Mytilus edulis: one gene and its partner. The protein of the gene in region 2 interacts with the protein of the main gene of each other region in a biochemical or structural test. Links are inferred from orthologs where the notes say so. Each region holds a gene or a part of one and is shown on either strand. Other genes may lie near its edges.

The links.
Region 1: the proteins of DNA topoisomerase I, mitochondrial-like (region 2) and serine/arginine-rich splicing factor 1-like form a complex in vitro, tested with the Homo sapiens proteins (2 studies listed by BioGRID, with this or other methods). The link is inferred for Mytilus edulis from reciprocal best matches to the Homo sapiens genes TOP1 and SRSF1.

The regions. Positions count from the first base shown.
Region 1 is NC_092349.1:62,473,778-62,481,075, forward strand, and holds the start of serine/arginine-rich splicing factor 1-like, read left to right. Parts: upstream 1-4,270; 5' UTR 4,271-4,348; coding exon 4,349-4,521; intron 4,522-7,298. UniProt on the Homo sapiens protein: Plays a role in preventing exon skipping, ensuring the accuracy of splicing and regulating alternative splicing.
Region 2 is NC_092348.1:94,547,662-94,555,447, forward strand, and holds the start of DNA topoisomerase I, mitochondrial-like, read right to left. Parts: upstream 3,045-7,786; 5' UTR 2,945-3,044; coding exon 2,903-2,944; intron 2,632-2,902; coding exon 2,598-2,631; intron 1,016-2,597; coding exon 117-1,015; intron 1-116. UniProt on the Homo sapiens protein: Releases the supercoiling and torsional tension of DNA introduced during the DNA replication and transcription by transiently cleaving and rejoining one strand of the DNA duplex.

The DNA of each region.
Region 1 (7,298 bases), on a different chromosome or scaffold from region 2:
TTAAAAACGAATGAAAAGTCATCGGTTCTTTCAAAGTTTATAACTAATGCATTACAGCAGTTTGATAATGTTGCATAAGCACATACATTTCATAAAAAAAACCATAATTTATTTCTATATATTGTTGTTTTGCATTATGAATTGCATGGACACCGGTATGCTTTATACCTATATTATTTGGATTAATCAAATCTACCTATGTCTATAGAAAAAAAATTTCACATCATACATGATCACTGTATTCAAAGGACACTGGTTAACGTATGGTTAGATCAATCAAACATATTGCCATCCCTGTTATTGAAATGACGGAACTAAGCTAGCATGCTGATGTCCAGATAAACATATTGCATAGATCCAAATATACGTATATCGATATGGAATTTATGTGATTTAAAAAATCTACATTTTAGAGTGCCATGGATTTTAAGCTGAAACTATTCGTAATTTGAACAATCGTTTTGTGGGCACGGTCAAATTTGATTGATATTTAAGTACGCATTGCTTTTGCGCCAATTCTTAAAAGTTGTAGTTTTTCATTTGCGCCAAAAAATAAATATTGCTTCTGCGCCATTGTGCAGGTAAACTAATTAAAAAGTGAAAATATAGAAAATTTAAACAATATCTACGGACACACCAGCTGTCGTCAGGAGATAGGAGAAAAAAAAAAACAGATTAAATACGGAATGCACCTCTAGAACCGAAATTTCCCGCTGATATTATAGTAAGACCTTTGCCTATAGGTTTTGTAACAGAACAGACTTTTAGTTTTTATAAATACTTTGATTAACAGCAGTTATTATTGTGGTTTTATGACTTTTAAGGAGTTACCATTTTTTATAGTGCTTTGATAAATCCGAAAATGTTTTAACAATTTGCAAACATTTTTTTATTATAGTGTAAACCAGTGTTTAGTGCTCATATTTTTATAAAGATATATTTTAAACATATGTTTTAATATTTATGAGACCTTGTTTCTAATATAAAATTGAGAATGGAAATGGGGATCACTGTTTCTTATCATCTTCGGAAGGCCCCTTTTTTAATTTATAATTACCAATGGAAGTAGAAAGACCTTTTGTCTAACCTGTCTTTGTGATATTTTTTATACGTCCGTCAATTTTGACGGGACGTATTATGGTATACAAATGTCCAGTGTCCGTCCGTCCGTCCGTCCGTCCGTCCGTCCGTCCGTCCGTCCGTCTGTCCGTCTGTCCGGTGTAAACATGTCGCACCGTAACTTGAGAACGACTTATCCAAATTTCATGAAACTTAACATAGTTGTTTCTTATGATGGTCAAATGATCTGTATACTTTTTTGTGAAAATAAGATTACAACTTTTTGAGTTATGGCACTTTGTAACTAAAACAGGGGTGTGTTTTTTTCACATGTCGCACCGTATCTCAAAAACGATTCTTGATCATGGCTTAAAACTTTAAATGCTTCTTAGTTATATTAATCTTAATATCTGTATACTTTTTGGTGATGATTCAAAATTTCATTTTTGAGTTATTGAGTATTTTGTAAAATAAAAAGGGGGGGGGGGGGGGTTACATGTCGCACCATATCTCAAAAACGATTTATGATTATTGCTTAAAACTTTACACACTTCTTTGTTATATTAATCTAAAGATCTGTATACTTTTTGGTGATGATTCATTTTTATATTTTCGAGTTATTGAGTTTTTTTGTAAAAAAAGAGATTTTTTTTTCACATGTTGAGCTGTATCTCTATTGCTTAAAACTTAACAGGCTAATGTTGCGTCGGGTTTCCAAATACATCTTGTACAATCTTCCTATTGAGCGGGAATAAGGAATGAGTCAGGATATACTAAGCATGACATCCTGTACAACCCTGTGTTATTCAAAAAAGATTTATGTTTTTTCACAAGACGACGGGCGTATCATGCGCTCATGGCGCAGCTGTTTATCTAAATATTGATCAAGTCGAAATGTTATCTAAAACACTTACCACTCATTCAAAAAAGAAGGGTCTGACTTGTTTTTATCATACTGCTTTTATTACATTATAGATGTCTGTTTCCGTTGATTCCGTTAAATACCAATTCCTCAGAACAATTGGTACTTTGCGGAACGGAAAAATAAATTAAAAAGTTTAAATCAGAGTCAACTTGATCACTGTCTCTAATCATCGTCGGAACGGGCTGTTGAAGGCCTCTTTTTTAAAATATAATTACCGATGGAAGGAGAAAGACTTTTTGTGTAACCTGCCTTTGTGTTAATTTTTTTTTATTATTGATCAAGTCGAAAATGCTATCTAAAACACATACCACTCATGCAAAAAGAGGTGTCAGACAATTTTTGTTATCATACTGCTTTTATTACATTACAGATGTCTGTTTCCGTTTTTTCCGTTAAATACCAATTCCTCAGAGCAATTGGTACTTTGCGGAACGGAACGGAACGGAAAAATAAATTAAAAAGTTTAAATCAGATTCAACTTGATCACTGTCTCTAATCATCGTCGGAACGGGCTGTTGAAGGCCTCTTTTTTAAAATATAATTACCGATGGAAGGAGAAAGACTTTTTGTGTAACCTGCCTTTGTGTTAATTTTTTATTATTATTGATCAAGTCGAAAATGCTATCTAAAACACATACCACTCATGCAAAAAGAGGTGTCAGACAATTTTTGTTATCATACTGCTTTTATTACATTACAGATGTCTGTTTCCGTTTTTTCCGTTAAATACCAATTCCTCAGAGCAATTGGTACTTTGCGGAACGGAACGGAACGGAAAATAAATTAAAAAGTTTAAATCAGATTCAACTTGATCACTGTCTCTAATCAAGGACGACGTGAGGTCAGTCTAGATATCATAATGCATGACTTGCAAATGCGTTAATTTCATGATAATTTATCACGACAATCCCGGCGACATATTCATCTACAGAATATTTCCCGATGTTATACATTATTACACATTTCACCTGTGAAGATGAGATTAAGTATACATTTGTGTTATTTGTATATGGAAAACCGTAAAACACAGAAATTTTAAAGTTTGTTTTGTTTTAAAGATTTTTCGAAATTTTGATAAATGCCCCCTTTGGATACCTTAAATGAAATTCCGTTCCGTTCCGTAAAGTACCAATAGCCATCTAGTGATTATCATTTATTGATATTAAAAAAATGATTTTTCACTATCAAAAAAATGATTTTTCACTATCAAAAAAATGATTTTTCAATATTAAAAAAAGATTTTTGTCATAAATAAATGATTTTTAATAATAATAAATGAGTTTTCAATATTACATTCGATTTCATTGAGTGAGTATGGAAAGGTTAAATCCTTGGTTAGCTTACCTGTTAGCTGAACCGTGCAGTCATTATTAAGTTTAACATGTTTAATAGGTAAACTATCCTCCTTTAAGAGTAGACTAGTCCGACAGACAACCAATCTATCTGTCTGTAGGACTAGACTACTTCGAAAGAAGTAGTATTATTGTATAGCAATATAATATTTCCCACAGAAAGTAACCAAAAGTTAGCGTGCAATAAATTCTAATATTGCACTAGTGCAATAAATCTTCAAAATTCATGACATCATCAACGACAAAATCTTAGTTTAAACCAATTTTTACTTTTAAATATTATATTGCTATACAATAAAAGGGTTATTGCATGAATATTGGGGAATATTGTCCCTCGTAGAACATATATTGCACTCGCAAGCTCGTGCAATATAAAATTCTACTCGGGACAATATTCCCCAATATTCATGCAATAACCCTATATTACTATACCTTACATGACCTAAATCTCAGAGCTAACCTAATAATGAATTCATGGTTCAGCTAACAAGCAAGCTAACCAAGTTTACTGTCACAGAATGGAAGTTCCTTCATAATATAAGTTCCAAAAAAGAAAAAAATATTCTGGAACACAATTTCCAAAGGAATAAATATATTACAGTATATGTTCCCAACGGAATAAATGGTATAGAATATTTGTTCCAACAGGAATAGATATAATTACAATATTTATAACAAAGTTTCCATTGGAACTTCTGTTAGGTGGAACAAATATATACCTTACCCTACACACTCAATGCAATCGGCTGTAATAAATGAATTATTAATATTTAAAAAAGATACAGGATTTTTGTTTATATAAAACAAGGATTTGTATAGTAAGAACTTACTATACAAATCCTTGTATAAAAGTAGTCACTTTCTGATATAAGGTACGTTGTGGTGCATTTATTTTTACAATATGAATGAGGAAGTTAGTCTTGATCACGTATTCTGCCTCGTTTTAGAAACCAACGCTATCTTTCTTCGCCATTTTTCACAACACGTCAGCCGTAGGAAAAGAAAACGAAGCATGTCTTACGGACGACCATCAAATGATTCCAGAATTTATGTTGGCAATCTCCCACCTGATATAAGAGCTAGAGACATTGAAGATTTATTTTATAAATTTGGACGAATTAACTTTGTTGACTTGAAAACAAGACGAGGGCCCCCTTTTGCCTTTGTTGAATTTGAGGACCCACGGTAAACACTTTGTTTAGTTTATTTAAATTTAAAACTGTCAATATTTTTTCTTGGCAATTTCAAGGTGTAAACCTACTTGTATTGTGGCTGTGCTCATAGCCATATTTACATGTAAAACTGAGTAAGAGAGTATTTACTAATAATAATATTAAAAATCACAGGCACTTGTTTCTATTCATGAAGGTACTGTCTACTGTAGTAATTTTACTGTCAGTCGTCAAATAGTCAGTCTTCACGACAAGTGGCAGCCCAGGCTGGTAAAATTGCTCTTGGCCTGTAAAAATCAGACCTACAGGCCAACAGAATATAACTAAAAATTTTCAAAAATTGAGCTGTGGGCCTGTAGATTTAGCAGTTCAGAGTGAAGACTGAACAGTCATTTTAGGCATCAGTTGGTGTCATTGGTTTTACCGTGATTCGTTCGAAATATCCTTTTATATCGTGAATCGTCAGAGGTCTCATAAAATTATCGTTACCTCAATTGGTAAAAATTTGTCAGAGCAGACCTTCCATCTAAACATGAAACCCTAGAAAATTACAACACTGCCAGCGATATTGTTGGCTTTTTTCAAAACTACCTCTAGTTACCCTTTTTATTGGGAAAATATGCGTCATTTTCATCAAATTGGGAAATTTAAAATCATGAATATGACTGAAACTTCAATTTACAGACCCATTTTCAAGAGTCAAACCCTGCTTTGAAATAAGACCCTGTGATGATACATAAATAGACCCTCAAATGTGCACATATAGTCATTTTAGGCAAGAAAATTGTTTAAATGAGTGTTTTTAAAGGGGCACTAGCTGTCAAATTCATTGTAACCGATTTGACTCAAATTCTCATATTTGGTTTATAACAATGTAAAACATTTATCCAAACTATCAAAAGTCTAAAATAAGCAGTTTACAGAGCATGGGGTAGATAATATATAGGTTCGTTTCGTGTGTATTTTAGTCCAGACGCCATCTAATTAACTATCGATTTGACCTCAGATGACCATATTAGCGATGTAAACAAAAATTAAGATACGAATAGATTAAACCAACACGTGCAATTGCATTTTTATAGGTCTGTTTGATTTTATTTTATAGATTAAAAATAGATGTTTCTCATTGTTTTTAACCATATAAGAATGACTTTATGTGCATCGAATTAGTAATCAAATGATTTACCGTAGTTTCACTTTCATTGTTGACATTCTTTTTCTTTAAATAACCAGTACACGTACAACGCATGCGTTGTCAATCTCTAGCTAGGGGTTAAGGTTCATCATAAGGAATTGAAAAATATGGCCGTGTTTACACCTCCAAAATTACTATGAGTACAGACAAACTGGTACATCCAGGAAAGTTTTAAGGCATGGCAGGAACTAGATATATAAAAGTTATATGAAGTCTTCGTTTCAGAAAATTAAAAACTTACCTGGATTTTGATGTTCATTTTTTTCCAGTCTGCAGAAGATAGCAAAATAAACAAACACCCGAGTTTCATTTGATACGGTCCACTCAGTTACACAGTTTAAACCTGTTAAATAACCTATTGTTTACAGGTGTCTTGTCCATCTATTGTCCATTTAAATCAATACTACTCACAACATTGATTATATGAGTGGAGCTTCTCAATCGTTTTCACTACTTAGTTAATTTTTGCACCTTCTGCAGGAACGAAAAAAAATGGATAGCAAAATCTAGAAAAGTTTATAATTTTCTGAAACATAAAATGCATTTAAAATTTATATATCTAGTTCCTGCCATCCCTTAAAACTGTTGCAGGTGTATAGGTTAGTCTGTACTCAGAGTAAAATTTGGGGTGTAAATACGGCCATTTTAGCCAAAAGGTTATGATGAACCTTAACTTGAAGTTCACATGAATACCGGTTAGAATGATGATGACGTTTTCACTTGCAAGTGAATCAGTCACAGTGTTCCAGCTAGGTTTTCAAAAGGGCAGGGTGCCAATCCTGAAAAAGGGCATTTAACGCGCGATATGATAATATGAAAAGGGCATATTTTAATAAAAGATGTTAATCAAACATTTGTGTTTATTCGTTGAATCACAGGTTATACAAGAACAACATCTTTAGCCCATATAGAACTCTATCTTTCTACTTTTAAGGCTGAAAAACTTGTCAAGCAGCTTGTCACACAAGTTTTTTTTATCATTGCTTGGCACAGTTGAACTTTATATGCAGTATGTTTTGAAAGGAGATCTGTTTCATACTGTTTCTATGGTCTACCACATTTTACCAGTTTCACCTTTCTACCCCTGCTGTGCTTGATGGCAATACAGCACAAAACAGCTGTGCTCAGTAAATTCACAATTTTAGGATATAAAGCAACAGTGAAAAATAGTATCAAAAATAAAGAATACAGAAAAAGATGACCAAGGCACCCTACAAACACTGCTACTAAGACCCTCTTTAACTTTTCCCATAACTCAAAATAAATACCTAAACATATATATTCTTAAGCAAGAAGTATGGAGACACATTTTAGAATATGTAAATGGGTTACTCAATGCTAGGAAAAAAATCAGATTGAGTTATCTTTCTTTATTCGGGTGTGCTCCTTCTTTGGAGGATTATAAACAGTACGTAAATATGATGTAAATATGATCACAATATGGCAGCCGATTTTGTTATTTTCGTATCAAAAATGAAGGCAGTCAATGACAAATACGTCTGAATTTTCTGTTTATTTTACAGAAAACAAGTAAAACAATGTCTTCAACGAGTTTATAATGGTTTTCCAACTTTCTGTCATTACGTTTCTTCCAT
Region 2 (7,786 bases):
AAAAAAATATTATCACTTTTAAAATCTCTTTTCGTAAAATTTGAAAAAAAAACTATACATACAATGTACATGTATAACCTGAAAATTTGAAAGATTTACATTATAATTTTACTTACCAAAGGTACATCATCTACATCTATATCTTCATCATCATCACTCAATGTTTCTTCCTTAGGAGCTTTAGTTGGAGACATCTTTACAGGGGATGCTGGTTCACTTTTGATATCTACTTCCATAGTCTCTTTATGGATGTCTTCATTGGGTTCTTCTTTGATATTATCATATTCTTTCTGCCTCTCTACTCTGTTCTCCTTATCTTCTTTTTGTCTTTCTTTCTCTCTATGCTCTTTGTGTTTGCTAGGGGAACCATCCCTATGCTTTTCTGCAGAGCTACTGCTTGATCTGTGCTTGTCACCTGAGCTACTACTTGACTTGTGTCTGTCACTTGAGCTGCTGCTTGACTTGTGTTTGTCACCAGAACTGCTACTCGACTTATGTTTATCACCAGAACTACTACCTGATTTGTGTTTGTCACTTGAACTGCCGCTCGACTTACTAGAACTTTCTTTTTTATCTTTGCTAGAACTAGATGATGAGCTCTGTGACTTGTCTTTGGAATGACTGGAGCTTGAGCTATGTCCTTCCCTGTGCTTACTACTTGAACTACTGCCACCTTCCTTATGTTTACTACTAGAGCTGCTGCTACTAGGTTTGTTGGAAGAGCTTGATGAGCTCCCTTCCTTGCTTTTGCTACTACTTGAGCCATGTCCATCACGATGCTTGCTGCTAGAAGAACTCCCATCCTTGTGTTTGCTGCTGCTGCTGTGTTTACTGGAGCTTGAACCATCTTTATGCTTGGATGAACTGTGGGATGAGGAATGCTTTGAACTTGAGGAACTGTGGTGTCCCTCACTTTTCCTAGAAGAGTTATGGTTGCTCAAATGTCCATTCTGTTTCGACTCATCAATATGGTTCACACTGCTGGTCTCATGTAATTTAGCTTTCATTTCAGCAACTGTGAAGATAACAAATCAAGCCAATATTTCAAATGAAATTATCTTTGTACATTAAACATGTTGAAAATTGTTCTCATCTGCAGCAAAATCAAGACATTTTACAAGTTATACATACAAAATGTAGTTTGTCATGGAATTTTAACTGGTTAACTTGTAAATTCTGAAAAATATTTTTATATTTTCTTAACACTTTCACCTATGAATAACGGGTTTTATACTGGGATCTGAATACATCTTTTGTATTTCCCGCTTAAAACAGTGAAACACAAGTAAATAAAGTTATGCTTCTTTGTTTAATACCAAGATAAAAGTGTAAACATGGTGCTTCTGTTTGTTGCAAACTGTGTCACCATCAGTTGAAATTTATGGATTTAACTAGAATTTGAAATTAACAGGCTATTATTTGAACTTGGAATTATTTTTAATTATGGAATTTGCTTGATTTCTTGTTATTGAAATTTTTAAGAAATTCCATGTTTATTCTGTACTGAAATGTTCTGTGCTGTGCACAACACTTTCGATTACAAAGAAAATAGTATATTTTCAATAGAATGTACTGTGCCGCGCACAACACTATCTAACCAAAATACATTGTATGGAAAGTGTTATTAACCACTTAAAAGATTCTAATACCAAATAAACATGAAATTTATTAAAAATTTTAAACACAAGAAATTATGCAAATTCCATAATTAAAAATAATTCCAAGTTCAAATAATAGCCTATTAATTAGAGAATTTTTTTTTTAAAGAATATTGAATAATTGAAGCCAGACTAGGCTACATTTTTTTACATGAAATGTCATTTTATGTACAAAAACACTTGGAATGAACATCTTTAAATTTGTACAACCTTAAAACCTGGAAAATTTTTCAAACTTTTCTGATAATAGAGGAGACTTGACCAAAATTGAGAATTTGGGTTGAAAAGTCGAAATTTTGAGAATCCCAGCTTTTTGTTGCCTAAAATTTAAAATTTTCAATGAGAAAAAAATTATCGAGCACAAACAAAACTGTGTTCATGGACATGGTACAAGTGGATAAAATAAAAACATAAATAACTACAGACAATTTTTTTTTATATTTAATTAAAATTATCTCTACAAAATAACCTTTTTAGTTAAGAATTATCGTCAAGCAGTTTTAGGGATTTAACAGAATTCTTTTTTTTTTTTTGGGGGGGGGGGGGGGGTACATCATGTGTATACAACTGTATGTTTCTTCTTTCCTGTTTAATGTCATGTTCAGGGAATAAAAAGCCCAATTCTGTAATTTGTTTTAATCATCTTTAGACAAATTTAGTTTAGACAAACCACACTTTTTATTTTGCAAGTTTCTGCTGGGATGGCAAATAAATATGGACAACATTAAAATCCATCTTTTTTTCTTCTAATGGAAATATTTTTTTTTTTACATTTACTCATCAACAACAACACTTGTTTTTAAATATGTATGAAATCAGCAAATGATGCCAACATCGACTTACAATTGAAAAGTTCACGCTTGAGTTACCTGCCTTTACTGACTACAGTCTGGACTTAGCCATTTTGTCGATATTTCAAAGATATGCAAAAATACTCACCGCTTTGTTGGCTCTCAACGAAATCACCAGCACCCTTCAAATAAAGAAAACGAAGCAATTATATATCATCTTCAAATATACCAATTACAAAAAATTAACAACCACCTACTAATGGTTTAATTCTAAGATAAAATCGTCAAAAAAGTCAATGTTTCAAAGTCGGACTTAGAAATTTTGCGGCCATCTTGACTTTGTCATTTTCTCGGTTCTTTGTTCGAATAATTTCTGGTATGTGTACAGAGTAAAAGGCTCATCGAAAATATATGAAGATCAAAAATAATTAAAGATATATTAATTCTACATACCTCAAGCATTCCAGGTTGTTCAGTCTCCATCGGAGATTCCATTACGCAGATAGTTATTTTCTATCAGGGTCCACGTTTTATGGCGAAGCAATTTGTGCTGAAACGGCTAAGTCCATACAATTGCTGTCTGCGCATGTTTAAAAACCCCGGATTTAACCACCTGTGATTTTAATTGTAACGCGGGAATTTTAAACGCTATTTTTAAAAGTTTGCCTATGGCTAATATATAAATAATTATGTATTACTATATCAAGCTAATATTGCCGAACATAAAAGATCTTAAAGCACTAAAAAAAAAACTTGCTATTAGATATTTAGATTGGAAGGGGAGAACAATTTATTTTTGTTAACGAGAACAATTAAGAGATTTGTATAGTAGCAACAGAGACATATGATCTCACATAAGTATAAGTATTATATATACCTCTGATACTTTTTTGTATTATGCTCAGAGAAACTGGGGAAGAGCAAGGTCTCTTCTTCTTTATATACAGAAAAACATCAACCACTTGATTACTTTCTGGCGCAAGTTGTTAGGCAGCAACCATTTGATTTTCTGGAGGGGGAGGGGGGCTATGGTTTTAAAAGTTTGTTTCCAGTTTTGGGAGAAAAAAAATAATTTGTTTCTGACCCCGATAAAAAAAATTGTTTGTTACACCCTCAGCTGCCACCATATGTAATGATAAAAATTAATAGAAAAAAATTGTTTTCGACTTGTCGCCAAAAAAATAGATTGTTTTTCGCCAAAGGCGAAAAAAAGTTTTCCAGAAAAAATATCCATAGCCCCCCCCCCAAAAAAAAAAAATCAAATGGTTGCTGCCTTAATGATTAAAAATATATTTTTTAATTTCATAATAATTTTTCATTTTTTTTTTATAATTTTGGCATGTTTAATATAGGCGATTTGGTGTCACGATATCTCAGTAGCATGGGTTCGAATCCCGGGCGGCGAGGGAAGAACAAAAAATTAGCGAAAGCAAATTTACAGATCTAACATTGTTGGGTTGATGTTTAGACGAGCTGTATATGTATATATATATATAGTAGTCTCAAGTAGTACTGTCGTAACTGTTGGGCCAGGTAAGAGGAGGATTTGGCACCAGCAACTTGAACTGCAACTGTTTAATCCCACATTATTCTGCATATGCAGATCCAAGGAGCTTGAGGACCCGGCCCACTTTTCGTGGGAAAAATTTGATTGATTATATAGAGAATCACTGAAGAATGACTGGAGAGAACCCCAACATTAGATCAGTCCGTACCCCCACCGCCCCCCCCTCCCTTATGAAAAGTTCTGGATCCGCCACTGTTCTGTTATGTGCCTGTCCAAAGTCACCGAGGAGCTTGTAATACAACAGTTGTCGTGTGTTGCTGTATACCAACAAAATCGTAATACTCTTCACCTGAAGTATTGATTGTGTTTACATGGTAGTTTTTCGATTCCTTATATATTCAATAGAACTTTATGTTAGGAAGTACAGTACTGAAATACTGTCAATCCTAGTTTCAGCATTACGTATTTTCTAAAAAAAAAAAAAAAAAAAAGTAAAGAGATGTGGTATGATTGCCATGACAATCTGTTTATTGCTATTTTACCTATGACGACGTTGTCAATTGACAACGTCGTCAATTTCATGTCAATTTCATAAGCAACGCCACGTGCCTCCTTAGATTCTAGCGATTATTTTTTCATCTCAAGCGAGTAACATGATATGAAAAATTATCACAAAAAAGATCAAAGGAAAATGCACAAAATAGCGATAATTATATATACTGCATGGTTCTGTAAAATCTATATATATTAAATGCAAAAGATCTTTTTTATCACGGTTCTGCATGGAATGAAAATCATTATAAACCTGTCTTATTTGTAGTGCGTTTATCTCGCTTTTGATTTTTACCGCATGTTTGGGAGTTAGAAAAGATGTGGCTTTTGTGACACCAGGAATTCCCAATTACGAGTCATCATTTAGAATATCATGTAAGTATAAAGTTTGAATTATGGAATGATTGAAGTGTAACTGTCATCCATAATAAGGGGTACCATACCTTTGCAGTAAATACCATACCAAGCATCACAACTACCACAACAAAGTGCATCTAGCTTCCATGTTACCGCCTTTTGGTAAGTTATGGTTAGTCAATACCATACCAAGCATCACAACTACCACAACAAAGTGCATCTTACTTCCATGTTACCGCCTTTTGGTAAGTTATGGTTAGTCAATACCATACCAAGCATCACAACTACCACAACAAAGTGCATCTAGCTTCCATGTTACCGCCTTTTGGTAAGTTATGGTTAGTCAATACCATACCAAGCATCACTACTACCACAACAAAGTGCATCTGACTTCCATGTTACCGCCTTTTGGTAAGTTATGGTTAGTCAATACTATACCAAGCATCACAACTACCACAACAAAGTGCATCTTACTTCCATGTAACCGCCTTTTGGTAGGTTATGGTTAGTCAATACCATACCAAGCATCACAACTACCACAACAAAGTGCATCTGACTTCCATGTTACCGCCTTTTGGTAAGTTATGGTTAGTCAATACTATACCAAGCATCACAACTACCACAACAAAGTGCATCTTACTTCCATGTAACCGCCTTTTGGTAAGTTATGGTTAGTCAATACCATACCAAGCATCACAACTACCACAACAAAGTGCATCTTACTTCCATGTTACCGCCTTTTGGTAAGTTATGGTTAGTCAATACCATACCAAGCATCACAACTACCACAACAAAGTGCATCTTACTTCCATGTTACCGCCTTTTGGTAAGTTATGGTTAGTCAATACCATACCAAGCATTACAACTACCACAACAAAGTGCATCTTACTTCCATGTAACCGCCTTTTGGTAAGTTATGGTTAGTCAATACTATACCAAGCATCACAACTACCACAACAAAGTGCATCTTACTTCCATGTTACCGCCTTTTGGTAGGTTATGGTTAGTCAATACTATACCAAGCATCACAACTACCACAACAAAGTGCATCTTACTTCCATGTTACCGCCTTTTGGTAAGTTATGGTTAGTCAATACCATACCAAGCATCACAACTACCACAACAAAGTGCATCTTACTTCCGTGTAACCGCCTTTTGGTAAGTTATGGTTAGTCAATACCATACCAAGCATTACAACTACCACAACAAAGTGCATCTTACTTCCATGTAACCGCCTTTTGGTAAGTTATGGTTAGTCAATACCATACCAAGCATCACAACTACCACAACAAAGTGCATCTTACTTCCATGTAACCGCCTTTTGGTAAGTTATGGTTAGTCAATACCATACCAAGCATCACAACTACCACAACAAAGTGCATCTTACTTCCATGTAACCGCCTTTTGGTAAGTTATGGTTAGTCAATACCATACCAAGCATCACAACTACCACAACAAAGTGCATCTTACTTCCATGTTACCGCCTTTTGGTAAGTTATGGTTAGTCAATACCATACCAAGCATCACAACTACCACAACAAAGTGCATCTTACTTCCATGTTACCGCCTTTTGGTAAGTTATGGTTAGTCAATACCATACCAAGCATTACAACTACCACAACAAAGTGCATCTTACTTCCATGTAATCGCCTTTTGGTAAGTTATGGTTAGTCAATACCATACCAAGCATCACAACTACCACAACAAAGTGCATCTTACTTCCATGTTACCGCCTTTTGGTAAGTTATGGTTAGTCAATACCATACCAAGCATTACAACTACCACAACAAAGTGCATCTTACTTCCATGTTACCGCCTTTTGGTAAGTTATGGTTAGTCAATACCATACCAAGCATCACTACTACCACAACAAAGTGCATCTTACTTCCATGTTACCGCCTTTTGGTAAGTTATGGTTAGTCAATACCATACCAAGCATTACAACTACCACAACAAAGTGCATCTTACTTCCATGTAACCGCCTTTTGGTAAGTTATGGTTAGTCAATACCATACCAAGCATCACAACTACCACAACAAAGTGCATCTTACTTCCATGTAACCGCCTTTTGGTAAGTTATGGTTAGTCAATACCATACCAAGCATCACAACTACCACAACAAAGTGCATCTTACTTCCATGTTACCGCCTTTTGGTAAGTTATGGTTAGTCAATACCATACCAAGCATCACTACTACCACAACAAAGTGCATCTTACTTCCATGTAACCGCCTTTTGGTAGGTTATGGTTAGTCAATACCATACCAAGCATCACAACTACCACAACAAAGTGCATCTTACTTCCATGTTACCGCCTTTTGGTAAGTTATGGTTAGTCAATACCATACCAAGCATCACAACTACCACAACAAAGTGCACCTTACTTCCATGTAACCGCCTTTTGGTAAGTTATGGTTAGTCAATACCATACCAAGCATCACAACTACCACAACAAAGTGCATCTTACTTCCATGTAACCGCCTTTTGGTAAGTTATGGTTAGTCAATACCATACCAAGCATCACAACTACCACAACAAAGTGCATCTTACTTCCATGTAACCGCCTTTTGGTAAGTTATGGTTAGTCAATACCATACCAAGCATTACAACTACCACAACAAAGTGCATCTTGCTTCCATGTTACCGCCTTTTGGTAAGTTATGGTTAGTCAATACCATACCAAGCATCACAACTACCACAACAAAGTGCATCTTACTTCCATGTAACCGCCTTTTGGTAAGTTATGGTTAGTCAATACTATACCAAGCATCACAACTACCACAACAAAGTGCATCTTACTTCCATGTTACCGCCTTTTGGTAAGTTATGGTTAGTCAATACCATACCAAGCATCACAACTACCACAACAAAGTGCATCTTACTTCCATGTAACCGCCTTTTGGTAAGTTATGGTTAGTCAAT